4 linked regions of the Notamacropus eugenii genome follow. The protein of the gene in region 2 purifies or fractionates together with the protein of the main gene of each other region. This does not show direct contact. Links are inferred from orthologs where the notes say so. Each region holds a gene or a part of one and is shown on either strand. Other genes may lie near its edges. The genes, in order: INPPL1, SHC1, KDR and AP2A2.

Region 1 (7,986 bases), on a different chromosome or scaffold from region 2:
GCACCTTTAGCACTCTACCCTAGCCTGTTTTGCCTGAAGTTCCACCACTGAAAGGCTTCTTTTAAATAAGGCCTTGATGATCCCTTGGCAACTTTGCAATTACCCTTGGGAGGTGGGGTATATTTAATGATTCCCAGCTCTGCTCATCAACACCACCAGGTTATAAGGAAGAATAAAGAAGTGGGGCTGAGATTTTGATTTCTAAGTGCCCCCTCCCCCACCAAATGAGCTACTAGGCAGTGGGGGAGGGGAGGAAGGCAGTGACTGGGGCAAACCAAAGCTACAGTTTATGTGAGTGGTATGAGGGGAAAGAAAAATGGATTTGGGGATAGTTCCCTCAGATTTTACATCATTAAGAAGAAAGGATTGCAATAGATGGCTTCTAAGTTCCCTTCCAATTCGAAATTGATGATCCCTTGGGAAAGATGGGAGCAGAGAAGTGGAGATCAGATGTATAGAGTCTTTAGGAGTTCCCCAGTCCTTAGCACCTGCCTGAACTAGATCAAAATGTAATTAGGAAATATTTAACAAAATAAAAATGTAATGAAACATTACATTTTAAAACTTGACATGTGCCCTGCAGGGGTCCTTCTGTACACATTAGGGGTCCACTTTTATTTCAGTTTGACACCATCTCCCTATTCCACCTCAGTTTAAACCCCATAACAATGTTCTCCCTCTTCACATGTTCCTCTTCCTTTGGAGATGATTAAAGCAATGAGTTCAACAAATCTGGAATGAGCAAAAGAGTTTCTGGGACCTAGAAGTAAAGAGGGGCTTTCCAGAGTCAACATTCTGATGGTAGGATTTCAGAGCTGAATAGAACTTCTTTTGTTATTGGCCAGCACTTGGGATTTCATTGGTTCTGGAACTCAGGTTTCTCTACAATTATAATTTGTAGGGGGGAATAAGTTACTTGTTCACTTGGGTTCCATAGCAAGTAGGGACTTTATACCAACTGTCAACTCTGAAAAATAAAACAAAACCAAAGAGTTCACAGAGGTTATAAGCAAAAAGTTTTCTTTATACTGTTGGAGAAAGAAAAGTAGACAGGGCTGCCAGTGTCTAGAACTGAGGAGACCCAAGGCAGCAAAGCCACGTCTTGATACATATAAGTGTGACAAGACAAAGAACCAAACAATGAGGGGTCACCTTATCAGTGAGGGATAGCAGCAGCAACGAGGCACGTTTATGCCAGGAAAAAAGTATATTCATAGCAAGGCTTCATGACTCGAACACGGTTCCTGCAGGTGCTTTGTGAGAGCTCATTGATCACCTAGGGCTGATTTGAGCCATTTTTACGATTTAGCTGCATCAGAGTTCATCTAGAACGTAAGGGCAAAGTATTGTTGTTATGTTCAGGGTTCAGCTTGCTTGTTGGGCTTTGGATCTGGGAAACATGGTATCTCCTAAGAGTAAAAGGAGAGGGGTGGTCTTGGCATGGGGATCCTGACATTTCCCTCTTTCTGCAAAAGGGAAGGGAGTCTAAAAGAAACTCTCCCACTCTGGCCAAGACAGGAGAGGCCAACTGGGCCAGGAGGAGATGGTGAGTTGAGGGACAGCTGAGGGCTTAGGTTGGTGAGCTTGGGAGTTAAGGTGGCAAATCCATCAATTTATTAGCCCCTCCCCTTTAGCAATGATGGAGGAAGGATAAAGAATGGCATTTCTATCCCAGGAGGTTAGTTTCTTGAGGAACCTATCAGGGAAGTCCATACTAGGTGTCTTTGAGAAACTCCCAATAGGGGAAAGTGCATAAGCAGATAAAGCAATAGGTCTTGTTCAGCCAATGTCTATTACCAGCAGAGAAAAGGAGGGAGAAGCCAAGAACACAGAGGGAGAAAATGCCAACACATGCTTACATCAAGGCCTTGGTGGTTGGACATGTAAGAAAAGGGAACAGGAAAAAATTGGGACTCAGCCCTTGTCTGGAATCTTGGGACAGCTGTCTTATCTGCGTGTCTGTACCAGAGGAGCCTTGAGGTCCCTGGACAGTTCTGCCATCCACTCAAGAGCAGGGGTCTTTCTTCAGATGATCCAGGAGTCCACATGCACAAATCTGGCAGCTGTAGGAGTAGTCAGAAGGACCTGGTAGGGGCCCTTAGATTGAGGGGGTGGAGTGAACAGGTGTAATTTCCTGAGTTCAGAAAATGAGGTGTAGTATTTCCCAGATGTCTGTAACATGGAAATAATGACTGATTGATCAGTAGAGGTCTAGTTTTCAGTAAGACATATGGGTTGCTTGAGTTGTACAATTGTTAGAAAACTCTTTGTATCAATCTTTGGGTCTGAGTTTCCGGTCAGCATAACCTAGGTCCTTGTTTAAGGGTCTTTAAATAGCAAGTAGAGTCCAATTACAGATCAAAGTCTTTAAAGGGTTTACAGTGTACTAGTCCCTCAGTGCCTGGTTCTTTGTCTAGATACTAAATGTATCAAGGTTTAGCTTCAATGCCTTGGGTCTCCTTCATTCTAGAGTAGAATAAAGAAATCTTTTGGCTTATAACCTCTGTGAGCTCTTTGGTTTTATTTTATTTTTTTTTCAGAGTTGACAGTTGGTATAAAGCTTTTGCTATAACTTCTGTGCGTCTTCTGTCAGAATTGACAGTTGGTGTAATAACTTGCGGCTCTCTGGTTTATTTTATTTTTCAGAGTTAACAGTTGCTGTACAACCTCTCTGCACTCTTTGGTATTTTCAGAGGTAACAGTTGGTGCATAACCTCTGTGGCTCTTTGGTAATTTATTTTCAGAGTTTAAGAGGTTATGTATGGCTATTTACCATATTAGAAATTAAAACATATTTTAAAATTGTTTACTAATTTAGTTAGAAGTCACATCCATTAGGTGTTAACACAAATAATATCTTAATGAAAAATGTTTTCCATATTTTTGCAAATGTCTTTTAAGTTCTGACTTAATAGGAGGCAGCTGGATTTTCATTTTGTAAGCGTGAAAAGAAAATTCGGTCTCAGGAAGACAATGTAGTTGGAAAAGGGAGGAGTATTTTAGTAGTAGCGTCTCAGTATTACGAAAATAGTTTTGACCTCAAGGACTCCCTGAAAAGTTCCCAGGGTTCTCTAGCCTTAGAAAAACATTGATTTAGTCCAATTCCATCACTTAACATATAAAGGAAACACAGCAACACTTAGGATTTGAACCTAGGAAACCAGGCTCCTGCTTTCCAGAGCATCTCCGGCTCCTAAACCGTCCTCCGGTTGAGAATCGATAGTCTGGGTCCTCATACCAACTTTAATGCCCAGTTTCCTAATTTCCAAGCGAAAAATCCTTTGAAAACAAAGTGGTTGTGGCAGAGGTAGGGTTGGGTAGCGAGTGAGAGGGTCGGTGGGAGACTGAAAGTTTAAAAGTAGGAAAAGATTTAATAAGTTATGCAGCTTTCTGTTCCCTCTAACCCTAGGGCACACAAAGGTGTGTCAGGAGATGGGGGGGCGGTGGCTCCACTACTCCCCGCTTTTATCCAGCGCTAGGAGACGTCCTGGGGGCCGGGCCAGGAAGTTACCACCCCATAGACTGGGCCCCGGGCGATACATTTTTGGCCCGGATCTGCCAGTGTCTTGGACCCAGAAAATAGACTTGAACGGATTGGGGGTGGAGGGTTGGGGACAAAGGAAGCGAAGATGGAGAGGACAGCATGGGAGCCATGGGGAGGGGTAAGGAAGGTAGGAGGGAGACGAGGGGCGATGGAGGGAGCTAGGGAAGGATGGGACGAGATTGGGAAAGATGGAAGGAGACGGGTGAGCCGAGCTGGGGAAGTGGGGAGGGATGGAGTAAGAAGGGGAGGGTGGAGGAAGTCCGAGAAAGCTTGATTTCCCGGGCTCTGGGCTGAATGTGGCAGGAGGCGGGAGGGAAGCAGGAGGCGGGCAGAGGCAAGGCAGAGGGGCGGGTCGGAAGGCTGCGGGTCCGGGACCTGGGCGGAGGAGGGCCGGCTGACGGGGCTGGGGGGTGGCTGACCATCTTAAGTCGGCTGGCATCCCTGGCCCGGCCCTACTACTTCCCGGGGGAAGAGGGTGTGTGAGTGTACTCCCAGGTGGGCGAAGCGCTCCTCGAGCCCAGGCAGGCCCTCCTGGGGAGAGCGGGCTTGGTTTTCAGAGCCTTCCCTTAACTGTGTCTGCGATCCTGGGGCCCCTTTCCCAGGCCCGGGAGAGGCCTCGGGGGCTCCGGGTGGTGGCGGAAGAGGACGGGGAAAGTGCGGGGGGAGGGGAGACTCCGGGGATCCCGAGAGGAAGCTGCGCTGGGCCTTCTCGGGAGGGTTGGGGTTCTCGGAGGGTGTTTGGGGGGCTCGGTACTGTATCCCTGGGGAGATCAGGGGCTGGAGGCTAGGATTCCCGTGTCTGGGTTAACGCTACGGGGTGTTTGGTGCTCGAGCGATTTTGGAGGGTCTTGGGGTGTTTCGGGGGCTCCGGGGTGTGTTGGGAAAGTCCATGAACAAAGTTAGGAGTTCCTCACAGAGTAGAGGTTCTTTTGGGGCATAAAATTGGGAGAGGATCGGGGGGGAAACCTCGGGGATGTGTTTGGGGGTGATCCTTGAGGGCTTTTGGAGAACTCCGATTGGTAATCGTGGGAACTGGGGTGTGTGAACCTCCGGGAATGTGTGTTTTAGGAGGTTCATTGGGCAGAATTTGGGGACCTGGGGGGTCTCTGCAGGGTTTTGGGGATCCCCGAGGGTGTCTTTTGGGGGTCTCTGAACAGTATTTGGGAGTCATGGGGCAGTGCTCCGTGGATCTTGGGGAGCTTTTCAGCATCTGAGATGCCGGGACTGCGAGTATATTTGGGGAGAGTCCCGGGGGTTCTCTGATCGAAGGAGGCGGGGACCCCCGCAGCCCCTCCCTCCCGTCCCATCCAGTCCCCTCCCCCTCGCGGCTCCTCGCTCCCCTCCCCCCTCGGCCTCTGAACAAACTTTTCTTTCTCCTCCAAGTTGCAGACTAACGCCGGGGAGAGAGGAAGGAGCGGAGCGGGAGCCTCCGGAGCCGCCGCCAGCCCCGACGCGGAGCCAGGAGCCCCGGCTCCCCTTCCTCCGCCCCAGGCCCGGGCCATGGCGCCTCCTCTCCGGCCCCGGTGACCGCCCTGCCCGGGCCGGCCGGCCGCGGGGCCCATGGCGTGCGGGGGCCCGAGCTCCGGGGGGCCCGGCGGGGGCGGGGGCGGCGGGGCGGGGCTGGGCAGCCCGGCCCCCGCCTGGTACCACCGCGACCTAAGCCGCGCCGCGGCCGAGGAGCTCCTGGCCCGGGCGGGCCGGGACGGCAGCTTCCTGGTGCGAGACAGCGAGAGCGTGCCCGGAGCCTTCGCCCTCTGCGTGCTGTGAGTCGGGATCAGCGCCCGGGAGGGTGGGGGAGCCCCGAGTGGGCGGCCTAGGTCTGGGGAAGCTGGGCAGGGGAGCGGGACCTCAGGGACTCGGAGCTGCGACGAGCACTGAGGGGAGGGTCTGCCAGTGTGTTGGCAGTCGAGGGCGTCTGAGGCATTCTGTGCCTTGGTCTGTAGGGGGGAGGGCAGCAGCACCTGGGCATGAAGAAGGCCAAGGGTGCGGGATGTATGGGATCCAGTGGCTGTGGAGTGTTTGCGTGCCCTGGAGGGGGTAGTCTTAGGACGTAATGAGACAGCTCCGAGATTCTCTGTGTTTCTGGGGTCGGGTGGGGGCTCAGAGCTGTGTAAAGAAAGGCAGGCAGGTAGGTGCAGAGTGGGATCCTTTGGAGTTCAGCGTGTGTTTATATGGAGACTCAGAAGGAGAATATATGTGTGTTTTACACACTGGGGGCTCGGAGGGTGCGAGTAACACAAGTATGATGGGTTGCAGGAGCAAGTTTGTGCCTGTTGGTTGGGCAGATAATGACATATGTTTGGTCCTGGTATCTGGAATGCCTCTAGGTCCATTAATTCTGGCGAGGTTAGTCATTTCATACTTTTCTGGGTTCACTGAGCGGGACCTGACCCCAGGGTAGCCCTCCCTTTCTTCTCTTACAAGGACCCAGCAGCTGCTTGGACACAATCCCAGCCCCCCAAGTTCCTGGTGAAGCCATACTCCCTTTGCCCTTCCTCCTCCTTCCTCTTCCCCCTGTGTGGAGTAAGACAGCACTGAATAGAATTTGGCTTATTTACAATAAGGAGAGAGTATTGTGAAAATGTAAAAGTCACAGAGATCTCAGAATTGGAGGGTATTTGAGAGTGTGTATTTGTATATGTGTACAGGGCTATATATATGATGAGGTGAATTAGCGTCTAAGGATGAGTTTCTATGTGTATACTTTCTATGAGTGAATGAGAGTGAGAATGTGTACTAGAGCGTGTGGAAGAACAGTTTATAGTCTTGAGCATGAATTTTCATATGCTTGCGTGCTTGTCTGTGAAGGAGATATTAGGGAGTCCACCAACACCTACAGATGTGAGTGGAGAGAATCAAGCAAAAAGTGGTCTTGGCTTTTGGAGAGAGGAGTGCCTTCATCTACCTCTTTTGTTGTCTCTGGCTCCCTTCTTTGTCCCATCTCCCCTGGGGCCTGTTATATTTAGAATGATGGTCAGGCTCTCAATCCCAGGCTTGGTGGGGCTCCTTGGTCTTTGGATTTAGGACTTTGGGTTTCTGGGCTGGGCTTTGGGTTAATGTGGGCACCATTCTCTAGATCTAACGCTGTCACCCTTGGGTTTAACTCTGAGCATGTCTGCCACAAAATCGTTTGGGGAATCTGAGGATGCTGGCTGAGTCCTTCCCCACTCCCTCCCCCCAGCCTCAGCTTTAATCTCTGAGGAGCCTCCATGGAGGCCTGAAAGGCCTGGTCTTTAGTTGTCTCATCTGCATTTCCCTTCATTCTCGTGCCTTGAATATTAGTCTTGAACTGGATGTTTTCCTTGGGTCCCTATTGTGAACTCTTATGTCTTCCCTATAAACTCTTATATTCTGTGTCTTTCCCCATCTTTTCCCTCTTCTATTGTCTGTTGCCTTCTGCCAATAAGGGTGAGATGGGACTCAGTGTGGGCAAGAGACCCTGGGACCTTACTGGACCAGCTGTCTAAATAGGAAGGATCCTGGGAAGAAAGTGCATTAAGTCTACCCTTTCCACCCCCTCCCCAATATTCACTGTTAGGGAGTAGGAATGGAGGGGTATATTCATTCCCCTCTTGAGGAGGTTCCCTCCCCTGTAAGGATCTCTGATTGTTGGGACTTAGGGGTTGACTGGTCAGCTGCTGATGGGGAGTGGGGGACAGCTGTGATTGGGGGTGAGTAGGACTAGACTTGTTGTCACCTAGGACCAAGGAACCAGAGGGGCCCTGAGACTGCCTCAGGGTAGCTCTGTCTGCATGGAGCCTTCAGTCTCCTTGTTTCTATCCTGGATGGAGCCTTAGATGTCTGGGATTATCTGCTCTGCCTGTGTCCTGAGCTGGGAAGTGTTGTGGGGAAAAAGTGGACCAGAAAAAAAAGTGGCCTAACGAATAGTTCTCTAACTTTTCTGACATAGACACCTTCAGCCTTGGTGTCGCAGAGAGGTCAGTTGACCGGGAATTCAGACACCTTAATGTGAGGCTCTCCACATGGCCTTGAACCAGTCCTGTAACCTCTCTGAGTCTTAATTTCCTCATCTGTAAAATGGGTATAATTGTACTAGATGCCCCCAAAAGGTTTTGGTGAGGAAAGCACTTTGAAACTCTGAAATCTATCTGTGTCATAGGTATGAGAACTGTTATGTTTGTAGTGACATGTGAGTGCCCTGACCCACTTTCATGCATACAGCCACCCCAACAGACATACATGGCCATAAGCGGACACAGACCCACAGACACAAACACATGCAGGCAGGATGGATTTGACCAGTCGTTCATGTACATCAGTGTACCCAGGCATATTGACACACACACACACACACACACACACACACACACACACACACACACACACACAGAAATACAGCCAGATGTCAGGTAAACAAAATTGTCAATGCCTTTCCCCCACAAATATACAAACCCTCAGGTGATTTCCAGGAGGGACTTTGG
Region 2 (7,245 bases):
TTCAATTAATTGGCTCATTCTATCGGAGGCGGGAAAAAGAGCCCACCTTTGAGACGCTTATTGGCTTTTATAGTTTTCACTCTATCCCACCTCGGGTTCTTATTGGTCCATAGGGCCAGACAGTATGTTTCGTATACGCCCATGAGACCATACACAAGCTCTTATTGGGTATCATTACTTGAGGGCCCCACCCTGCACTTCTACGGGAGGGGCGGGGCAATGAAATGGAGAAAGGAGGAGACACGTAATGCGTAGGGGTCAAAGGTTAGTCAGGCCGGAAGTGAGTGCAATAAAGTTTCTTCGGGGAGGCTGGGCCTGGGGGGGGGGGAGAAAGTTGGAGCGTCTCCTCTAAGAAGCTGCGGCCGCCAGATCCGGAGTGAGACCGGCCCGCGGCGCGGAGCGGAGACCCCATGCGGCCCTGGTGAGTATGAAATTTTTATCATCTTTATTTAATATTCTTCCCCCCAATCCACTGGAATCCCACTTCCGGCCAACCATACATAAGTCCCGCCTTCTGGGACCCCATCCCCGGAAGTCCAGCCCCCAGTTCAGGGGCTCCCCGAACCCCTCAAAGTTGTCACCGACCTAAATGTTTCCCCCTCCCGCCCCCTATTTTGGAAAACTTTGCCTTCCTCATCCCTCCCCCCCGAAACCACGCCCTCTTTAATCTTAACACTCCCTGAACGCCCCTACCCCGAGAGGGGGCCCTCCAACTATTCTTTACGGCTAGTCCCGGGCTACCCGTACCCCACCCCGAAGTGCCTTCTAGAATTCTGGGGAACTCCGCCCTTCATTAGGTCACGACCCCTCTGTATACCTCATTTCTTTCTCCTCCCTGGCCATTTAATTCAGTAGGGGCCCATTTCCATTTAATTCAGTAAGAATTTATTAAGCTCCCCTGTGTGTCCCACAGAGTGCTTGTCTACGTATGCATAGACAAAAACCTAACAATTCCTACTTTCAAGGAGCTTGCCTCCTAATGAGAGGAGACAACATGCAGGTAGAAAATTAAATATAAATTATGCACAAAGTAATTTCCATAAGAATAATTTCCTTTAGCAACTGGGGGAAATCAGGATAAACTTCCTGGAGATAGTGGCATTTGAGTGGAACTTTAAATGAACCTAGACATTTTATGAATCAGAGGTGGTTGCATTACAAGGATGCAAAAGGTACTGTGTAGAGGTACAGAGATGAAAGATGATATGCTGTGGACTAGAATAGTAAGCAGATTAATTTGGCTATAAGACAGAGTGTGTGAAGTAGAGAAACACTAAGCCTGGAAAAGTAAGCTGGAAAATATTTTGGATGACCTTTCCCTTTATAATTCTCTGAAACCATACCTCCCAAGAGATACTTCTAAGGTGCTCATTAAAATCTGAAGCGATCCTTGTAACCTGAAAGGTCCCTGCTTCAAACCCAGAAACCTGGCTTCCTTTCTCAATCACACTCTGTCCTTCCATCCAGCCTAGGTTTTCTCCTCAGTTCCTGGTGCCTGTGTCCCTGTCCCCCACCCCATATTGTGGTAATAATTTAAATAAATGAGATATATAGCAGTATCCCCTTAAATTCCTTTGAGAGAGGCAGTGCAAATTTTCTCATTTGCATTTTACACATGAGGAAACTGAAACTCTGAGAGTTTAAGTGACATGATCACATTAGTATTATGTATTAGAGGCTGAAATCATCTTAAGTTTGCCAACTGTAAGCCAAAGGCTCTTTCTACTGCCTCATTATTCCTAACCCTGACTCAAATCTGAGGGATTGAAGATTGGCTGTACTTTCCCTCCCCTTTGGGCCTTAATTTTATTCTTGGGTGTGGGATGACCTGAAGTGGGTTGGGCTTGGAGGTAGGGGAGAAGGGATGGGAAATCCCTCACGAGTTCCCAGATCTACTCCCTAAGTTTCCCTTCCCAGGACCGGCTCCACCCCAGAAACAGCTGCATGTCGTACCTGTACCTCAGGAGCTGGGCTGGGCCATGGATTCCCTGGTGTGTGGAATGGGGTTGTGAAATGGGTAACTTCTCCCTACCTACCCTAAAAGAGTAGGGTATTTTGCAATTGGGAGGTGTGGGGGGATGCTTTTTGCTCTCTGGCCCTAGAGACTTTACTCCAACCCCCATTCCTGTTTTCTTGTTTAGGTATTCCCCGTCTTTTCTATGTCTGCCTAACCTTCAGTCCAGGAAACATTCCTGAGGCTTTTGCCATTTCCGGCTGCTCCCTGCCACTGTACTCTCCTCCCCCTGGGCAGAGAAAGCAGATATTCCCCACCCCCACCCCAAACCTCTGAAAGTCATCTAGTTTTTGGTTCTCTGGAACTGAGTTTCTTCTACATTCTTTTCCAAATATTCCGTTATATATGGCTCACTACTCTCTTACTGTGAAAGCTATAAGAAAGTGAGTATCTCTAGACAGTACAAGAGTCTTGGCACAAAGTATGTAGGATATCGGGGTAATTATCTTTTGGGTCTTCTTTTTTTTCTGTGATCTGTGAACTGAGTGAGCCCTGGGGAGTGAGGAAATGGGGATGATAAATTTCTTCTCCCAGTTAGGAGTTGAAACAAACCCTTCTCTCTTCTCTCCCCTCCCCCATTTATGGGATCGTAGATTCCCAGCAGGAGGAGACCTTAGAGACCATCCAAGCCAATCCTCTTCCCTTCCATTCATTTTATAGATGAGGGGTCTGAGGCATGGAGAGGTTGCCTAAAGTTGCAGGTGCCAAGTAGAAGTGGGATTTTAGCCCTGGTATTCTGACTTCAAATCCACCATTCTTTCCACTGCTTCTGTTAGTACAATTTGCCTAGGAGGTGAAAGAAAGCTTTTCCCCCTCTCCCTAGCTAGGAATGTACCTGAGGCTTAATTTTGAATTTAGTTCCTCTAGTCTTTTTTTGCTGTCTGCCTTTGTAGGAATTTCTGCCCTCTCTTCCATTTGGTTTGGCAGGAAGTCAGGAACTTGTGGGTGGAGGAAATGAGTTTTGGACTGTTTCCTGTGTCCAGACTCAAACCCGACTCCCCAAACTCTCCTTTTCTGTATGATTAGAATATGGGGGAAGCGTGAAGGTTGGAGTAGAGCCCTTTTTCAGAGTGGCACTCATCCTCAGAAGGGAGATTTAGGGATAACTGGGAGAGAAGTGGCAGTTGGATTACCATATATATGTATAAGACATTGCCCATGGATGCCAGGGGCTGCCTTTGACCCTCTTTGCTTTTAAATCTGCCTTTACTATCAGTGCCTGGTGGCTATGGGGAGGAGTCTGGAAGCCTAGCTTTGGAATCAGAGAGAGCATAGACCTCTAGGATTAGGATAATTAGGATCCTGTGGTCAGTAATGGATTTTCCTTTCCTGTGATCTTCATGGAATGGGTAAGTGCCCATATACAAAGGGAGAGGAACCCCACGGACAGGAGAATTGTTGGGTAGTGATGTGTCCTAACGTTTGGACTCGGGAGAACAGAGCCTTGCCCACCTTCCAAGTGATGCTCTCTTGGTTGAAACATCATCTTGGGAGGAAACTGACAGCTGAACTCCCCCAGTAATGCCCTAGGTAGTACAGGTGGGGGCTGGACTGTCTTTGTGGCTGGCTCACTTCCCTTATGTCATGTGGAGAGGCTTAAAAGGTGAGACTCATCTCACCTGCCTTCTTTCTTTACAGTCCCAAGCTCTCCAGGATCCCACATGCTTCCTTCAGAGGCCTTGTTGGGCTGGCTCTACCAATGCACTGGTTTGGCCTTGCTCCCTGGCTCTTTCAGTCTCTCTTGGCTCTCTGCTCATCTTGCCCCTTTGCTTAGCAACCCCTTCCTATCTTTCTTTCCTTCCCTGTTTCCCAGACAGCACAGAGAGATTTTCTTTCTACTATATCTCCAGCTGTTATGGCAGTTTTAGCTAATGGCCTTGAGGTTCCCTGGGGATCTTCTCCCCACGGCAAGGTTGCCAGAATTTTTAACTGGGGTGGGAAAGGGAAATAAGTCAGGGATTGCCCCCTTTCCCTGTCTTTCTCTCTTTCCTTCCCCACTGCCCTGGCTTCCTGTCTTCTCCTCCCCCTTCGCAGTCAGGCATTAGACTTTCAGATCTGTTCTCTCTTCTCATCATCCCTTCCCTTTTCCCCATTCCTGATTATGCTTGGTTGGGAAGAGGGGGGGTGGGTGGATATGTGGAAATGGGAGGGCCACAGAGATTCCCTCCCTTAGGATTTGAGGCCTTGGGTGGGGTAGAGGTGGGGGGCTCTGCCCCTTCTGTGCCTGTGAGTCAGCACTGTCCTCCTGATTGGCCTCCACTTACTAACTCTCCTCCCCTGGGGAGGAGCCAAACTGTTCCTGGTCCAGCTCTCTCTTCTACAGCTAGAAAAGAGGCTTCATGCTAGGCGGGGTTGGAGCTAGGGCTTGTCTGGATCTGAGCTGGGGGAGTGGTGGTCTTCTCTGCAAGGGTTCTGTGACTATCTGCCTGTATATAGCAGATCAGACTAAGGGTCTGGGAATGCCCCCAGCCCGGCCCCCTTACCCTGGCTGGGGGGAGGGCCGGGCTGGACAGCAGTTTCCTTTCTCCTCTAGCCATGGATCTCCTGCCCCCCAAGCCCAAGTACAACCCTCTTAGGAATGAATCTCTGTCTTCATTGGAAGAGGGGACTCTGGGATCCTTATCCCCTGGGGAGCTATCCTCACCATCTGCCTCTTCCTTGGGACCCATCTTGCCCCCAGTGCTGGTGGATGATAGTCCTACAACCCTTTGCTCTTTTTTCCCTCGGATGAGCAATTTGAAGCTAGCCAACCCAACTGGGGGGCGGCTCGGTCCCTCTGAAGAGTCAGGACAAGGACCTGAGGATAGGGAAGGAAATGCAGGGGGCACTGGGCCGGACTCAGGCCCTTCACCTCTTCTCCAGGACATGAACAAACTGAGCGGCGGGCGGAGGACTCGGGTGGAAGGGGGCCAGCTGGGGGGTGAGGAGTGGACTCGTCACGGGAGCTTTGTCAACAAGCCAACTCGGGGTTGGTTACATCCCAACGACAAGGTCATGGGACCTGGGGTTTCCTACCTTGTTCGGGTGAGTGAGTATGTCCGTATTCTCAAATATTCCTCCCCTCAATCCCCATGTAGTCTTCTTTTGCCTGAGACCCTTGTAAGTCCCTTGTTTTGCTGGATTTTATGTTTTCTTTATGTGCCAAATTCCCTCTTCAGGTCCCTCCATGTATTACTTCCTACCTGTCCTGTTCCCTGCCCCAAATGCTGCTATTTCCCATTCCTTTCTGTTTCCCCCCTGCTTTTTTTCCCCTAATTCTTGTGCAGACATTCTTATTTCCTGTTCTCTTCCTCCATATCATTCTGGTCTTTTCCCAGCACCTAAAGATTTCTCTTTCCCCATTACTTTACATAGACTGTTTCTCTAACCTCTTCTTCTCTCCCTCTACACTGGGACCAGGGGTGTTCTACATTCAGATACCAAGCATAGTCAGTGGGTAGGCGTTCACATTCTGGAATTAATATAGGAGAAAATCCTGGGGGGTCTTTTGTGTGCATGTGTGTTGAGGGTGGTGCTGATAGTAGTTGGCAGAGGTCAAATGCTCCACTTTTCCCTCCCTCCCCCTCCCTCAGTACATGGGTTGTGTGGAGGTCCTCCAGTCGATGCGGGCCTTGGATTTCAGTACTCGCACCCAGGTTACCAGGTAAGTGGTGTCTGTCTGGGGGCATGGGGGCCAGTCAGTGTTGCTGGGGCTCATAGCAGTTAGTGAGCTCCTGGGGCTCTGTGGTCATGATAGCACAGGAAGAGCATTATTACTGAGGGATGGGGCACTTAAGGGAGCCCAGTGGAAGATCTAGGTTCCCCTCTGCCTTTTCAGCCTTGGAATGGAGGAGGCACGCACTTGAGTCAATGAACTTTGGCTGGGCTTACTGTGTGCCAGCCCATAAGATTACAAAGACCCTGAAGGGTGGGAGCATGGTTTCAGGGAAAATTAGTATTTGGTGACTAGAAGGGTTGAGGTTAAGGGGAAGTGACTGGGTCCATCACTGGGCTCAGAGGCCCTAATCCAATCAACCAGCAGGCAGCTCCTTAGTATCATCAAATATTAAAGGCCCTTAATTCAATCAGCCACTACAAAGAGCTCAGAGTGCCCCTGGAGTCTGTCCCTGGCTTCCCCTCCCTTAGACCTATGTTGGGGCCCAGGGAAATCTTTGCTTCTAAGCAAGTCTTTGTCTTCTCAGAGAAGCCATCAGTCTGGTGTGTGAGGCTGTGCCAGGAGCCAAGGGGGCTGCACGAAGGAGAAAGGTACCTGGGGAGCATTGTTGTGGAGAGTAGTAGATGGGAGGAGAGACGGAGGGGAAGCCAGGAGCAATGGAGGGGAGATGGGTTTCTGGATATAGAAATTGGGGCTTTAGGGGTAGGCCTGTAGCCTTTAACCCCCAAATTTTCTGTGGATCCTTTCTTATTAGCCCTGTAGCCGCCCACTCAGCTCCATACTGGGGAGGAGTAATCTAAAGTTTGCTGGCATGCCTATCACCCTGACTGTTTCTACCAGCAGCCTCAATCTCATGGCTGCAGACTGTAAACAGGTTTGTTGTGCCTGGGGGGGTTGGGGAGAGGGAAACAGTCTAGCCAGTGAAGAGAAGTCAGAGAAACTCAAGGGGAGAAAGTGAGGGAAGAACTGGGTATCTGGGTGGAGATAGTTAGAGGGCCCCTGGTGGAAGGGACCAGGGGATGGGACAGAAAGAAATAAGGGAGTTAGTAGGACAGAGAATACTAAGGAGTGAAGAATGTGAGTCAAAGTGGAATTGCTAACACTACCCCACCACCCCAAATTCTCAGATCATTGCCAATCACCACATGCAGTCAATCTCATTTGCATCCGGTGGGGATCCGGTGAGTTATGGTAAAAAGAGATGGTGGCTGGGGAAAAATGGAGTGACTCTGGATTGAGGTGACCCAGAATGATTGGGTAGAGGTGGGGGGGGAATAAAGAGGTTTTTGTGGGCTGGTGGGGAACATGTAAAGCCATGCTGGCTGATCTTACCCCGACTCGGAACCTGATCCCCTAGGACACTGCTGAGTATGTTGCCTATGTTGCCAAAGATCCTGTCAATCAGAGAGGTAAGTGGGAATCTGGTAGGGTGGGTCAGGGGTTCCTTCTCCAATTACTAGTTCTGTGGTCATTGAGGGCACTTGAAGCTTCCCTTGCCCAGTGGGTGCTATTTCCAGGGAGCCTGGGATGGCTGGGATGGGTCATGCCTGAACATCCCTAGCCCCGCACTTGTTGC
Region 3 (7,962 bases), on a different chromosome or scaffold from region 2:
ACTAACAGAAATCATATTAGAATAATGCTTCATGTCAGTGATCCTAGAAAGCTTGGATGGCATCTGATTTTTAAGTAAGTAAGCCTGAATATTTAGTTTCTGGTTGTGAATATATCACTTTCCACAATAGAATTTAAGTTCCTGGAGGCCAGGGACTGTTACATTTTTGTCTTTGTATCCTAAGTATATAAATTATAAATATATGCTGAACTATAAACTATGTGCTAAGCTATAAGCTATATGCTATAAACGAGGCATGCAATAAATACTTGTTGGTCGAATCCAAAATAATGATGATGAAAACAGAACTGAATATGAGGGAGAGTAATCAGGGTCCAATATACTCTAAGGACTATGTCTTTGTTGGCTTGTTTCAGAAGTGTCCGACTCTTCGTGACTATCTGGGATTTTCTTGGCAAAGATGCTATATTGGTTTGCCATTTCCTTCTCCAGCTCATTTTACAGAAGAGAAAATGGAGGCAAACAGGGTTAAGTGACTTGCCCCGGGTCATATATTTAGTAAGTGTCTGAGGCTGGATTCGAACTCAGGTCTTTCTGACTCCGGGTCTGGCACTCTATCCACTGCATCATTTAGCTAGGCGCTTTCCATCTGATTTGTAGCTGAAATATCTTCTATGTGTTGTCTTCCCCATTAGAACAGGAGTGAGTTTCTTGAAAGCAGGAACTGACTTGCTTTTCAGTTAGTATTCCCTATGCTTAGACCAATGCCTTGTCTATACTGAGTGCTTAGTCAATGCTGTTTCCAAACATTCAGTTCTTCAATGTTAAGGTTATTGTCTGAGTTGTTCTCTTGATGCTGCCTATTTTACTCTATATTAGTTAATGGAAGATTTTCCAAGTTAGTCTAAATTCTTTATATTCATTATTTCTTGATGAAATAACATTCCATTCCATTTACAATTTGTTCAACCGTTCTTCTAATGATGGGCATCCATTTTATTTCCATTTTTTTTTGGAACAACAAAAAGTGCTGCTATAAAAAAATAACTATTGAACTTTTACCTCCTTTGTAAAGGAGTAGCCAGTAGTGGTCTCACTGTGTCAAAGGGTACATACAGTTTAATAACTTTTCTAGCATAGTTCCAAATTGTTTTCCACAATGTTAAACCAGTTGACAATTCCAGCATTTACTACTTTCATCAGTTATCTTTGCTAAGCTGATAGGTGTAGCTTGACCCTTAGCATTGCTTCCATTTGAATTTCCCTTATTACTAGCGATTTGGAACATCTTTCTATGTACTGATAGCTTGCATTTCTTCTTTTCAAAATTGCTTGTTCACTGTACCTAAGATCGAAGGAAGAAGAAAAGGACCAATGCATATAAAAATATTGTAGCACCTTTTAATGTAGTAGCAAAGAACTGGAAACTAAAGAGATATCCACCTGGTACACAAGTTATGTACGTGAATGTAATAGACTACCTTTGTGCCGTAAGAAATGACAAAATGGGCAATTTCAGAAGCATCTTGGAAGATCTCTATGAACTGATGCAGAATGAAGTTAGCAGAACCAAGAGAACAACTCATACAATGACAACAATGTTTTTAAAAAATAATTCCTAAAGATTTGAGAACTCTGATGAAGTCCAGAGGACTAAAACTGAAATAAGCTACCTGCCTTTTGAGAGAGAGGTCATACACTTAAAATGTAGAATGAGACATACATTTTTGGGTGTGACCAATGTGAGAATGCATTTTGCTGAACTCTGCCTATTTGTTATAATAATTTTTTGCTTTTATTGGAAGGAGAGATAATAAATGCTTGTAATAATAATTTATTTTTAAAAAAGAAAGTTGCCTGTTCATATCCTTTGTCTACTCACCTATTAGGAAATGCCTCTTTTTACAGTATATTTCCATTGGTTCTCTACGTATCATATATCAGACCTTTAAGAATTTCTACAAGGGTTTCCCCTAGTCAACAGCATCTCTTCTTATTCTAGCTACATTGATTTATTATGTAAAGGGTTCTCAATTTTATATAATCAAAATGGTCTATTAGTTTTTTAAGATCATGTCTATTTTCTGGTTAAGAATTTGCCCCCTAACCAGAGTTGTGGAAAACATCTCCTTCCATTCTCAAAATTTGTTTATAGTTTATATGAAATTTATGAAACATATATAACATATGTTACATGTAATTTATACAAAACATATTTTAATCACTTATCCTCCATTTGGATCCAATGCCTTTCTGCTCCAATAAGCCCTCTTTCACATAACAAAAGGTGAGACTGCATGTGCAGTAGCATGGAGGAATGGATGCATTGTAGAAATGAACCATCTCCATCATGATCAATTCATATTTTCAGCAAGTGTCACTTGAGGTCAATGGTTAACCATTTGAAGTATATGTGCCATTGTTATTACGCTCTATTACAACAGTGCATTAAATAAGGACAGAAAAGTAGAAAAATCAAAGTTTGACAAGATAACATTTTTTTTCAGACTTTTTCAAAGTGGTGAAAACTGGGCATTTTAAAGTGATATGGGACACTGGGTATGGCAGAACAACTTCAGTGTGATCCCTGGCATTTCTGGCCTTGCTATCATTGGAGTCATTATTTCATCTTTTTTCAAAATGGCTATTTTCATGAGACTGAAGTTTCTGGTTTATATGCAAAGGAGCTGACTTCTTTGACTGGACAAAAATGGTGGAGAGCAACAGCATGGTGTGAACTTCTGGGGTCCTGGCCTGGAAGTTAGTAGACCTATATCTACTCAGTTTTGTCATAACTTGCTGTGTGACTTTGGGCAAATTATTTAGCGAATCTCTCCCAGCCTGTTTATTCATCCCTAAAGTGGAAGAGGAATGGTTAGCCTAGACTAGTGTTCCCCAGATAGTGAACCGTGGCCCCTTGGGGACCAAGGAATTATTGCAAGAAGTCTCTGTGTCCCTATAAGAGCATACAGACCATCAGAACGAGCGCAGAATATTTCTCACATGTATGTACTATTCGTTTTCAAATGTCACCACTGACCTAAACCACCCCAAAGGTTTCTTTAAGTTTTCAAATTCTATCAGTCTTTGATTGGCATGTGGTGGAAAGGGAGAGAATAACTAGGACCAGGAGGTGAGAATTATTTAGGAGATAGGGAAAGCATCTCCCAGGGCCATGTCCACCTAGTTCTTCCTTCATCTGACTCATCATCTATCGGTTTTAATTTCATAAATTTTATTTAGGGTAGGTGTGTGTGTGTGTGTGTGTGTGTGTGTGTGTGTGTGTGTGTTGGGATGGGGCAAGGTAATAGTTTTATCTTTAAGGAAAACTTTTTAAAAATAAAAATGATTCATTCATTTTTAAAAAGAGGTGCCTCAGGCATCGGGCCAGCCAAATGGAGGGTTGAATAAATATCAGGAAATAATCAGGTAAGAAGACCTCTTCCCCCTTTCTTTACCTCATTTCTTACAATGCCACTGTCTGATTAATTCAGGCAAAGATGGGATGAAGAGTCTTGGGGGGGAGGGATAGGATCTAAATCATGAGGTTAATTGCAATTCTTTAAAGTGTTAGGATTTGTATTGTTCTACTTATAGTATGATGAAGTTTCTGTATGCTTCCCCAGTATCTTGTAGGCACTCTCGCTGATGAAAAAAAAAATAAAACGCCTACATCTTCCAAGGAGGCAAGGAACTTGGGAATTTGCCAGATTCTGTAACTGAGCTCAGCGTAAGCTCGATGTGATTCCTGAGTTATGAAGGAAACTGGATAAAAATCAAGGACAGCAAGAAGGGAACTGGAACAAAAAGAAATGTGTTCAAAGATCCTTTTCTGCCCCTCCCACCTAAAACACCCTTGTGCCCCAGAAAGGTAGGAAAGATAGGAGGCTCACAGACTGAATCAAATCACTATTTCCAAATCTGGGTTCAGTCGCAAAGTGGACAGCAAGTAGGTGAGATGGATTCAGAGAAGACCAGAACCCTGAACCACGCAAATACTGGAGATGCTAGGAAAGCATTTTGGGCATAGTTGGTTCTATAGAAACTTCAAGTTTCTAACGATGCCTGGCAGAGGGGGTGGCATCCCAGAAATGGGCATTTCTAAGAACTGAGGTGCCTTCATCCAAGGCAGGATCCCCCTGCTCATTATTGTAGGATGAAGGCTCTCATATAATGGGAACTTGATTTGAGTTGCAGCCACAATCTTAGTTATGGTTGAGCTAGGTGGGCATCCTCCCCTCTCTAGCCCCAGTCACAGAGATGCTCCTTTGCTAGGATGCCTCCTGTGCCTGTATGAGTTTGGAAGTCCTCCCTTACTGTATTTAAATGTCTCTCTTGGAATGAATTTACCCTCCCAGTCTAGGCAGAGACTATCCTTCTCCAGATTTCTCTTGGCTTCCCTAACCTCATAGGAACAGTAGTTAGGACTCACATAGGGAAGATTGCCAAGGGATTCTAGGTGTTAATTCACAACTTATGGAAACCACTCAGACCATCTCACCCGGTGCCTATCACCTCAGTGTCTCCAAGAGGGAGAGGCAGCCAAAGGAATCCCCAGGGACTCCAGATCCAATGCCTTATACATTAAGAAAAAATAATGAAAACATTTAAAACCTGAGGGAATTTTAGATTAGCTAGTCCATCATCCTCATTTTAGCTTTGAAACCAAGAGGAGAAGGGCTTTGCTAGGAGTCACACAGGTAAATAGCCAGACTCTCCAACTCTTAAGTCAGGGCACTTTCCCCTATGCCCCTGCTTCATCTGTTGGTTAGTGCAACGGGGACACCTTTTGGAGGCCAAAGCAGGGATCAGAGACTGGAAAATGTACTCTGCATTGGGCCTATCCGAAAGCACGGAGTTATCTGGGACCGGTCTCCATTAGGTCCAGTTAAATCTTAGCCTGGGCTAGGTAGAGGAACAAGGCGTGGGAATGGGCGGGACGGGGCGGGTCTGGCCAACTGTAAAGGACAGCTCCGCCCCAAGTGCTCACAAGAGGAGTTGGTGGAGGGGCTGACCCAGCACAGATTCCCGGGCAGGCCCCCAGGAACGCAAAGCTGGGTCAGGCCGGTCCATTCCCTCTCTCTACTTCTTCCATCACTCGTACTCCTTCGCGAACCCAGAATCCTTCCCTGAGTCAGATCAAGTTCTCTGGGGGGCCAAGGAGTCTTCACTCTAAGTGAGCAGTGCTTTCCTCTGGCGCCAGTGAGGGGCACCAGCCCGGGCACAAGCCGGAGGCATCTGCACCCGGCGCCTTCGCCCTCCCTCCCGCCCTGACTGGCAGCTCCTGGTACTGGAGGCGGGGGAGTGGCTCCCATCGAGCCAGTAACCGGGAAAGAAAGCCCCCAGGACAGGAGCCGGCGCTGGAGCATCTGGATGCTGGAGCCTGCGTCCTGCCAGAGCTAAAGAATGGAAAGCGCCCGAATGCTTCTGGTCCTCTTGTGGCTCATTGGGAAAAGCCTGCTGGTTTCAGGTAAGGAACCCTGGGCACGCGGGAGTCAGTCTGGAGGGAAAAGCCGGGGGCTAGGCCAGCGAATGGGGGCCTCTTAAGAAGGCGAGAGAAAACCAAGTCAAAACCAATCTTGCCTTTTGCTGTCGCAGAATCGAGAAGCTAAGGTTTCATCTGGTCAAAACCTGGCGCCCGGAAAGGATTAAGAGGTGGCAGGGGGACGCACAGCCTGGCAAACAAGCCCAGAGCTGGAAGGGGCCTTGGGGCTCGTCAACTAACAATAATACCTGGCCTTTATTTAGCGCTTCGAAGTTTTCAAAGTACTATATATCTATCTATATATATATCTTCTCATTTGAGTCTCCTAACAGTCATGTGAGGAGGTAAGTGCTACTCATTTTACAAACAGAAAGGCTCAGAGAGATTACCTGGCTAAGCTATGGTCACAGTGCTAGCTAATGTCAGAACAGTAATTCTAACCCAGGTCTTCCAGATTACAAATTATAATGATGCCACTCTGTCTCCAATCTACTCCAACCAAACCCTGTATTTTATAAGTAAGGAAACTGAGGCCCAGAACAGGGAAGTCATTTGCCCTGGGAAGCACAGCTAGGAAGGAAGTAGCGGATCTGGGATGCTTATCTGACTCCCAGTCCACTGCTGCAGTCAGGTACTTAAGAGACGCCTAAGACCAAAGACAGGTAGGGTCGGAGGGTGGGGGGTGGTGTGCGAGGGATAGGTACGTCTCAACACTCAGGTTCTGGACTGCAGGCATAGTCACTAACAGTTGCGGGAAACTTTCCAGAAGAGCCATTGGGCCTCGGAAAGCGGGACAGAAATCTATTTGAGGAGTCCCAGCCTGCCTCGCAACCCCACCCCCTCACGCCCCGGGACGTTTGAGGAAGCAGGATCTTTTCTCCTGGCTGCCGTGGGGTCTTTGCTGCGAGAAGGAGCCCTGGTCCTTTGCTGGAGGAGCGGGGAGACTGCGGGAACTTCTGGGCAACGCAGAACCTCGGGCAGCCTCCTTGGGCACGGGCATCTCCAGCTACTCTCCCCTTCTATGCGGACTTTGCACTTGCAAAGCATTTATCGCTTTGTCAAAGCGCCGCCTCTCCAAGGCTTAGATCCCTTTGTTTGAAGTATGAACCCGAAAATCGGCCCCACAGGAATAGGCACCTTCCATGCCAGTTGCCCCTTCTTGGCTCCTAAACCGCATTTTCCGCAAGATTAAGATTACATAGAAGCTCGAGGCTTTAACCTCCTTTGGGGCTCTCACAGACACACACGCTGGGAATGTTGTTTTCCCTGCAGCCACACTTTATCGATTTCTAGAAAGTAAAAAGGTACTTCTGTGTTTACATTGAGGCAAAGGGATCCAGACAGCTGAAGCAATTATCTAGATAATTCCTGCAACTGGGGAGTTTGGGGGGGGGGGGGAAGTATTTTTTTTATTTTTCAAAGAAAAGATTCCTCTCCCTTAATTATCCAGATTGTCTGTCTACATTGATTGCATTTACCTTGTAATTATTGGGCTCTTCAAGCCTGAGAACTAGGTCAAATGGCTCTGTGTGTTGCTAAGGCACCCTCACTCCTCACTCCCCCCAACCCATTATATTTAGCTTCCAGGTCTAGGGTCCAGAAAATGTATGGGGTGTTTGGATTCCAGAAAGAAGTGAATCTCTTTAAAACCGGAGGAAAAAACTTAGCTCTTCACGAAGGGGCCCTTCTCAGTGATGGGAGCCACCTTGCCCTCCAAACAGTAGGGAGGGAGCTTTTGGGGAGGATTTGATTCCAATAGTAGCATTGGTTCATAATTGTTGCCTTCAATTTCTTCACACAGAAGCACTATTGTCTTTCCTTCTGAGTTGGAGCAGGGAAGGGTAACAGAAGGATTAATTAATTAACATTGCTTATAAGCTTTGCAAATAGAAGCAGCTTTGAGTAATGATACGAGCATTTCTTATTCTAGAATTTGTCTTGAAAATGTAAATATATAACCAATGATCTCCGAAATGACTGCCTATTGTAACAGAGACAAGAATTTACATTAATTAAATTATTATGTTAATAAGCGAAATCTCTATATTGTATTTGGTAGCAATGAAGTTGTCGAATGAGAAAGATAACCTAGACTCAACTGCTGTTTTTTTCTTGGATTAATTACTTTTGAGTTGTATTTATCTCTTTTTATTTTCCAGCACTGCCTAGGTGATTTCTACATGGGCAGTAGTTTGCAATGATATGGAATAACTTTGATCAACTGAGTTTATCTTTGGTGTTTTTCTTTCTTTCTTTCTTCCTTTCTTTCTTTCTTTCTTTCTTTCTTCCTTTCTTTCTTTCTTTCTTTCTTTCTTTCTTTCTTTCTTTTTTCTTTTTTTTTGATGCCCTTTCCCTCCTCCCCCCCTCCCCACTTTCATTACCTTGCTCCAAAATGTGCACCTATAGAATGGATTGCTTTTCATATCAAAGTACTCATTTCAAAAGGCCAATTTTTGTTTCTCAACCTAATGAGGTTTTTCTAAAAAATGTTTTATGGATTTTTTTTTCATTATTGT
Region 4 (6,817 bases), about 350 Mb from region 2:
AGCTTCTGGCCAGGCGCTGACTCAGTGAGTGGAAAGGACCCCTGGGAACTCAAACTGAGCCTCCTCTTACAGAGAAGGAACCAGGCCCAGCACAGAGGAAGAGACTTTGTGCACTCCAGAAGCTGAGCCGAGTTCCATGTCCAGCCTTCTGTCCACACCCTCATTTACAGAGTAGAAATTGAGGCCTAGGGAAGAAAGGCAGATGGGCAGCAGCCAGAGGAACCTGAAGACAATTCCTCAGATTCCTGAGGCAGCTGGGTGGTACAGTGGGTAGGGAGATGGTCCTACAATCAGGAAGGCCTGAGTTGAAATGTGACCTTAGACACTTTCCAATGCTGTGACCTTGGGAAAAGCCCTGGGATAGTCAGGGAACAGTTTGACCAGGTCCCTGGCCTCAGAGAGTTTACTTCTCCTGCAGAGGAGCTGCCCAGGGAAAGGAAGGGGATGAAGCCTGAGAGGAGGAGGCCTCTGCCCTTCCCAAGGAGAAGGCTGGGTAAAGCAGCAGAGGAACTCAAGGACTTGTGTCCTTGCCAGGTAGCTGACACCCATGCCTCTAGCCTTTCCCAGCTCCAGTCCCTACTCAGCACTGTGCCTGAAAGCCTGGATTCAGGAATCATCTGTGGCTCCCTATGGCCTTCAGAGAAAAATGCAAACTCCCCTGTTTGACTTTGGAAGCCCTTGCCAGTCTGATTCCAATCTGGCCTTCCAGGCTTTTTTCACTCAAGTCCTCCCCATACCTGACATTCAGCCAAATTGGCACAGTCATCACTGAACATACAGGACATTGTGGGGTGTATGGGGTGTTCAGAGGGGACCAGCCTCCGTGGCATGAGGGCTACTGGGCACTTCTCAGGGCTGCTCATCCACCTTTGGTGTCCCCCTGACACCCAAATGTCACCTGTGGCTTCCAGGTGTGTGTGTGTGTGTGTGTGTGTGTGTGTGTGTGTGTGTGTGTGTGTGTGTGTGTGTGTGTGTGTACACAGTACGTATGGGGTGTTTAGGCAGGACAAGCCCCTCTGGGGTGAGGGCTGCTCATCTACCTTTGGTGTCCACCAGTGGCTCCCAGAAGCTGGAGCGTGTGTAGTGGTCACACCTGGTAAAATCATCTGGGCACATGGGCTAAACCAGGTTGAGGGAACTGAGGGGTCTCAAACCCATCCGTGAGTTAGGGGGTGTCTCCTCCAAGCAGGTGAAGTCTTCTCCCAGCAGAATGGGTAGATGAAAACAATTGGTTCCGCAGCCATGAAGGCGACTGAGGGGGGCGCCATGGAGTGCTTGGAGCCTTGTCAGGACTTTGTACCATCCTGTCTCACTTACATCCAATTCAGGAGCAGGGAAGACATCACCCCGTGAGGTCACTGGTCCTTATCCAAAGGAAGTTGGAACAACAGCAGGACATTGTGCCTTTGCAGGGCTGTCCCCTCGTCTCTTCCCTTGCTCATGGCTCCAGTCCATAGGAGGCCCTTCCTGGTCCATCCTTGACTGTCTGATTCTTGTCACCCATCCTGTGGAGGAAGCTTCAGGGGCTCCCTATCACCTCTAGGAGTAAAAATAAAACCCTCCACTTGGCTTTGAAAGTATTTCCTCCCCTAACTCGCCTTCCCCGCTTCCAGTCTTCTGACAACCTTATCCATGTACTTATCAGTTATTAAATAGGCAATCAACATTGATTAAGTGCCTACTATGTGCCATGCAGCATGCTCAGCACACAAAGCTAGCCAGCGACACTGGCCTCCTCACTGTTTCTTAAACAAGACCCTCCATTTCCGGACTACAGGTATTTGCCTTGCCTGTGCCACCTGCCTGGGTCTTTGCCTCCTGGCTCCTCTCATCAAGTTTCAGCTGGAACTGGCCTGTTGGTGCTTTCCTCGTTGCTTGAGTGTCTCAGATCCATCCAGTTTAGAGCTGGTTTGTACCTCACTCTGCATGTGGTCTCTCCATGATTAGCTCACAGTCCCTTGACAGCAGAGGCCATTCTGCCTTTCTTGGCATCCCTTGTGGTCTATATATACAGCTCCTGGCACATAGTAGGCACTTAAATGCTTGTTGACCTGACTAGACTCATCCTACTAGTTGCTGCCAATTTACAATCATGGGCACCAGCCTCTTCCTTTAGGAGAATGTCAGGTTCCTGCAAGTTGGGACTTTCATTCTGTCTTGGTTCTCCTAGCCTGTGGCACAGGGCTTGGCTCAGAGGGGGCAGTGAACACATGCATATTGGGTTGGCAGGACCTCTGTGTGAAATCTCTCTTGGGGGGAGACATTGCTGTTTAGCTATGGAGTAGGCGTTTAAGAAATGTTTATTGGCTGACAGATGGTCTGAACCCCAGCTTCCTGACTGAAGTCAAAGAGAGCAAAGTTAGCTCATTCCAGGCTAGGGGCACCACAGGGCATAGAATGCTGGACCTGGCCCTGGGTAGGTCACTTATCTTCTGCCTCCCTGCCTCAGTTTCTTCATCTGTAACATGAGCATCTATAGCACTTCTCTTGAAGGATCCACTGAGATATTTGCAAATGCTTTGCCAACCTTAAAGTCTTCATGATTAAAGCTGGGAAGCATGGGTGGAGCTAAATCATGGAGGGAGGAGAATGCCAGGGCCAGGGATTTCCGTTCTCTGTGGTAGGCCACAGAGAAGACCTGAAGGCTGTACCAGTGGTCTATGATGCCCTCATTCAGTTGGAGATGTAAGAGGTTAGAGGCCCACTGAAACTTCTCTAAGAGAGCTGAGAGAGGACTCATAGAGCCTGGGAGGCCTTGGCCCCTCTCCCCATGGACCACATTTTCCCAAGTCTCCATTTTGAGGAAGGTCCTGCCCAGCAGCCTCCTTCCTCCAGTCCTCTCTGTAGCTTGGGCACCTTCATCCGGCTCCCTCCTCCTCCCCTTGGAAGACAAGCTCCTTGGGGCAGCTAGCTGGTGCAGTGGCTAGAGCATAGGCCCTAGAGTCAGGAGGATCTGAGTTCAAATCTGCCTTCAAACCCTTGATGCCTCCTAACTGTGTGACCCTGGGCAAGTCAAATCTGACTGCCTTAAAAAAAAAAAAAAAAGGAACCTCCTTGAGGGGAGCTGCTATGTGTCTCTCACCTTGGATTTATACCCCTTGTGCTGTCAGTGCCCCAGTCATCTTAGCTGGAGGGCAGGAGTTTCTGGCTGGGTCACCATTGTGGAAGGCAATGAGCCTGTCCCATTAATGCAGGCCCCCCTCCCTTCTCTGCCCCAGGGGCTGCTGCCCCTTACGGGGCGTTGGACCTGTGCTCCCCAGACCTGACTCTGGGCCAGAGCCTGAACCTGGGCCTGGCTTGGCTATGTCCCCAGTGCCTGACACACAGGAAGCCTTCCTTCATGGTCTGTGCCTTGGCCTGAGCTCCTGCCCACTGGCCCAAGGGTGGCCCAAGGTGGCCAAGGGTGGCCAAGGGTGGCCCAAAATGGCCCAAGGTGGCCCAAGGTGGCCAAGGGTGGCCCAGGGTGGACCGGGCCAGAGGCCTTTGAAGTCCAAGGAGGGGAGTCTGTCCGAAGATTCACCGAAGCCTGGGGGCCGCTGAGTGCAGCCTGCATCTGGCTAGGATGCTGACAATAAGCTTAGCGAGTCCCACGCGCTTCCCTGCAAAGACAAGCTCGCACCCTGCTCTAAGGGCTGGCTGCCTCCTGAGACCAGCGCAGGCCGGCGCATGCGCCCTGACTCGCCGCTCCCCCGCCCGTCGGGCCCCCACGCTGCTTCCTCCGACCTGGAGGGGGCGCTCGCGAGCTCCCAAGGGCGCGGGCACGGCGTGCTGGCGCCCGTGTGCGTGCGTGCGGACACGCGCACGTCTGGGCGGGGCGAGCGTGACCGGGGGCGCGCGTGCTGCTGCTGCTCCAGCTCCTGCGGGGGAGAGACAGACTGAAGCAGAGGCGGCGGAGACCCGGAGGGAACCCCAGGCCGGAGCCGGAGCCGGGCCGGAGCCCCCGCCGCCATCATGCCGGCCGTGTCCAAGGGCGACGGGATGCGGGGCCTGGCCGTGTTCATCTCGGACATCCGCAACTGTGAGTGCGGGGGGGAAGGGGAGGGAGCCGGACTGCGTGTTCCCCCCCCCCCCCGGGCCCCCGCCCGAGCTGCGGCCACTGGGAAGGCCTGGGGACGGCCCGGCGCTGCTCCCCTCCCCCCGCGGTGCTCCCCTCCCCCCCGCGGTGCTCCCCTCCCCCCCGCGGTGCTCCCCTCCCCCCCGCGGTGCTCCCCTCCCCCCCCGCTGTGCTGCCCTCCCCCCCCCGCTGTGCTCCCCTCCCCCCGCTGTGCTGCCCTCCCCCCCCCCCCGCTGTGCTGCCCTCCCCCCCCCGCTGTGCTGCCCTCCCCCCGCGGTGCTCCCCTCCCCCCCGCGGTGCTGCCCTCCCCCCCCGCTGTGCTCCCCTCCCCCCCGCGGTGCTGCCCTCCCCCCGCGGTGCTCCCTTCCCCCCCGCGGTGCTCCCCTCCCCCCCCCGCTGTGCTCCCCTCCCCCCCGCTGTGCTCCCCTCCCCCCCCCCCCGCGGTGCTCCCCTCCCCCCGCTGTGCTCCCCTCCCCCCCGCTGTGCTGCCCTCCCCCCCGCGGTGCTCCCCACCTCCCCGCGGTGCTCCAGCTCGGGCGGGGCCAGGCCCGGGCGTCCCCCCGGGGGGAGTGGGGGGGCATCCAGGGCCGGCCGCGGCCTCCCGCCCCTCCCGCCAGCCCCCCTCCCCCCGCCCGGGGTTCCTGGGGCCCCGGGCCCTCCGGACGCGGAGAGGGGGCAGTGACAGGTCTGTGTGGCTCATTCATTTCAATTGCTTAGGAGGGAGGCCTCAGTTTCCCACCTCCCCGAAGCCTCGGACCCAGCCCCCCTGCGGGCTGGGATTGTGTTGGGGGTCCCTGCCTGGACATCCGGCCGCCCTTGGCCAAGAACGGGGAGCCGCTCCCCAATGGGGGGGTGCCGAGCTCCGGGCTGGCCTTGACCCGCGGAGCTGTCCCCGGGCCGGCCCAAGGCAGCCGGCCGCCGCCGATCCCGGGCCAGGGAGGTCCTGGCCATTGTCCAGCACCCCGGAGCCTTCCTGCGATGCCCAGGGCCCGGGCACGCCCCCTGGGCCGTCGCTGCCTTTGGAGGATTCGGGGATCAGGGGCAGACCTCATTTCCTTATTCTTGAAAACCGAGACACACCCTCCAGATGCCAGGCTGGGGGGTCTCTGTGGCTCAGCCCCCTCCAAAGCCCGGCCAGCTTCCCTCCCGCAGCCCTAATTACACCTGTGCGTTGTAAGCTCCCCAGGGCTGAGCTTCCGCGGGCGCCTGGGGCATATCCCCTGTGCCCCCTCACCTGGGGGCTGCTGAGTGCACCCAGCTGGCCTTCTCACATCAGCACACAGAGGGAGGACTGTATTCACTGGGTCTGCCTGGTGATTGGTTCCTTGTCAATGATCATGTACCGTGGCCCTCCTTCAGGGAAGCTCTGGCCTCATTTGGCTGGAGGTTCCCTAGTTTGGAGTCTCTGTGCCCCCCCTCCCCATTCCTGCCACATGAGGAATTCCTGTCATTGTTCTTCCTGAGGTCTAGCCTAGATGGTCTGTGTGCCCTGTGTATCCCCTGAGGGTCTGAGTGCCCCCCCCAAGCTCTGTATGCCCTGTGTATCCCCTGAGGGTCTGAGTGCCTCCCCACCCCAAGCTCTGTATGCCCTGTGTGGCTTGTGTGGCACCTGAGGGTCTGAGTGCCTCCCCCCCAAGCTCTGTGCGCCTGTGTGCCCTCTGAGGGTCTGTGTGCCCCTTGTGGGGCTGAGTGCCCTGTGACCTTCCCTTTCCTCTTTGTCTTCCCTTACATTTCTGCAGTCCAAGCTATCCATTTAGTTAGGAGATGACCAGATATTGGACCTACCTTCTCTTCCCCCCAAAAAGAGACCAGTTGGTTTTTTTTTTTGAATGAATGAATGAATGAACGAAAAAGCATTTGAATGCTTAGTGTGTGTGCAGTGTGTTTTGTTCTTTCTAATGGAAGAAACATCATGCACTGGACAATTTCCACTCTGAGCTGGAGAGAGGGTCCTCACGTTCTTTAGGGTGCAGAGGGCTGTCTTTAGGGTCCTTTCCAACAAGAAAACCAAAGCAGCCTCTCCTGTTGAACCCCTCAATAAGGAGGTTGTGTCAGCATTCTGTGGCAGGCATGTGTAGACATGGGCTTAGAAATCAAAGTTTTTGGGAGTCTAAAGGCCCCTTAATCAGAGTAGCCAGGATCACCAGGCTCCCCAAATAGGTCCAGGTGAAAACATTTTGGGCCTGATGTGGGCAGTGAGTCTTGAGATGGCCCAGTAACATTCAGAGTGCTTTGTCGGACCTCTTTTGCCAGATTCTCAGAGTTTGGAAGCTTTGTCAGAGCTGATGCCTTCAAAGCAATAGGGCGCCTGGACTGGTGAGCAGCGGCTCTGAAGCTGGCAGGGTCCTGTTGCCCCTTGTGTCTGGGGCAGGAATACCCTGACTCATTTTCCCATATTGGTCTTGGAACTCTGGGTGTTTGGGGTGAAGCTAGAGACTCAGCTTTTTAAAAAGGAGGATCACTTGGATTATTTTGCGAGTTTACGGAAGCTTGGCCACTGGTCACTCTGGGGTGCTTAATGTCTCTTTGGGAAATGAGTGAATGGCCGCACTTGAGAGTTCCTCTGGCAGAGAGTGGCAGGCTGGCAGGGAGGGGAGGAGCTTTTCAAGGAAAGATGGTGTTTTCTTACCTTTCTTACCTTTCAGCCTCACGTGAAGCCTGCCAAGGGCAGCCATTATTAGGTTGGGGTCCAGATGAGGTTCCCCTTTGATCTCAGGCTTCAGGGATGGCAGGCTCCCCATCTTTTTGGTCATACCCATTCCT

What was found.
Region 1: the proteins of SHC1 (region 2) and INPPL1 purify together in Homo sapiens (affinity purification with western blotting; 4 studies listed by BioGRID and IntAct, with this or other methods). This does not show direct contact. The link is inferred for Notamacropus eugenii from reciprocal best matches to the Homo sapiens genes SHC1 and INPPL1.
Region 3: the proteins of SHC1 (region 2) and KDR purify together in Homo sapiens (affinity purification with western blotting; 3 studies listed by BioGRID and IntAct, with this or other methods). This does not show direct contact. The link is inferred for Notamacropus eugenii from reciprocal best matches to the Homo sapiens genes SHC1 and KDR.
Region 4: the proteins of SHC1 (region 2) and AP2A2 purify together in Homo sapiens (affinity purification with mass spectrometry; 4 studies listed by BioGRID and IntAct, with this or other methods). This does not show direct contact. The link is inferred for Notamacropus eugenii from reciprocal best matches to the Homo sapiens genes SHC1 and AP2A2.

What each region holds. Positions count from the first base shown.
Region 1 is NC_092876.1:96,908,800-96,916,785, forward strand, and holds the start of INPPL1 (phosphatidylinositol 3,4,5-trisphosphate 5-phosphatase 2), read left to right. Parts: upstream 1-4,973; 5' UTR 4,974-5,104; coding exon 5,105-5,307; intron 5,308-7,986. UniProt on the Homo sapiens protein: Phosphatidylinositol (PtdIns) phosphatase that specifically hydrolyzes the 5-phosphate of phosphatidylinositol-3,4,5-trisphosphate (PtdIns(3,4,5)P3) to produce PtdIns(3,4)P2, thereby negatively regulating the PI3K (phosphoinositide 3-kinase) pathways.
Region 2 is NC_092873.1:379,060,605-379,067,849, reverse strand, and holds the start of SHC1 (SHC-transforming protein 1), read left to right. Parts: upstream 1-4,237; 5' UTR 4,238-4,549; coding exon 4,550-5,038; intron 5,039-5,586; coding exon 5,587-5,657; intron 5,658-6,195; coding exon 6,196-6,259; intron 6,260-6,423; coding exon 6,424-6,543; intron 6,544-6,796; coding exon 6,797-6,850; intron 6,851-7,026; coding exon 7,027-7,078; intron 7,079-7,245. Other genes in the region: CKS1B (cyclin-dependent kinases regulatory subunit 1), read right to left, coding at 1-18. UniProt on the Homo sapiens protein: Signaling adapter that couples activated growth factor receptors to signaling pathways. Participates in a signaling cascade initiated by activated KIT and KITLG/SCF.
Region 3 is NC_092877.1:106,551,856-106,559,817, reverse strand, and holds the start of KDR (vascular endothelial growth factor receptor 2), read left to right. Parts: upstream 1-4,949; 5' UTR 4,950-5,367; coding exon 5,368-5,431; intron 5,432-7,962. UniProt on the Homo sapiens protein: Tyrosine-protein kinase that acts as a cell-surface receptor for VEGFA, VEGFC and VEGFD. Plays an essential role in the regulation of angiogenesis, vascular development, vascular permeability, and embryonic hematopoiesis.
Region 4 is NC_092873.1:27,299,238-27,306,054, reverse strand, and holds the start of AP2A2 (AP-2 complex subunit alpha-2), read left to right. Parts: upstream 1-3,802; 5' UTR 3,803-3,951; coding exon 3,952-4,018; intron 4,019-6,817. UniProt on the Homo sapiens protein: Component of the adaptor protein complex 2 (AP-2). Adaptor protein complexes function in protein transport via transport vesicles in different membrane traffic pathways.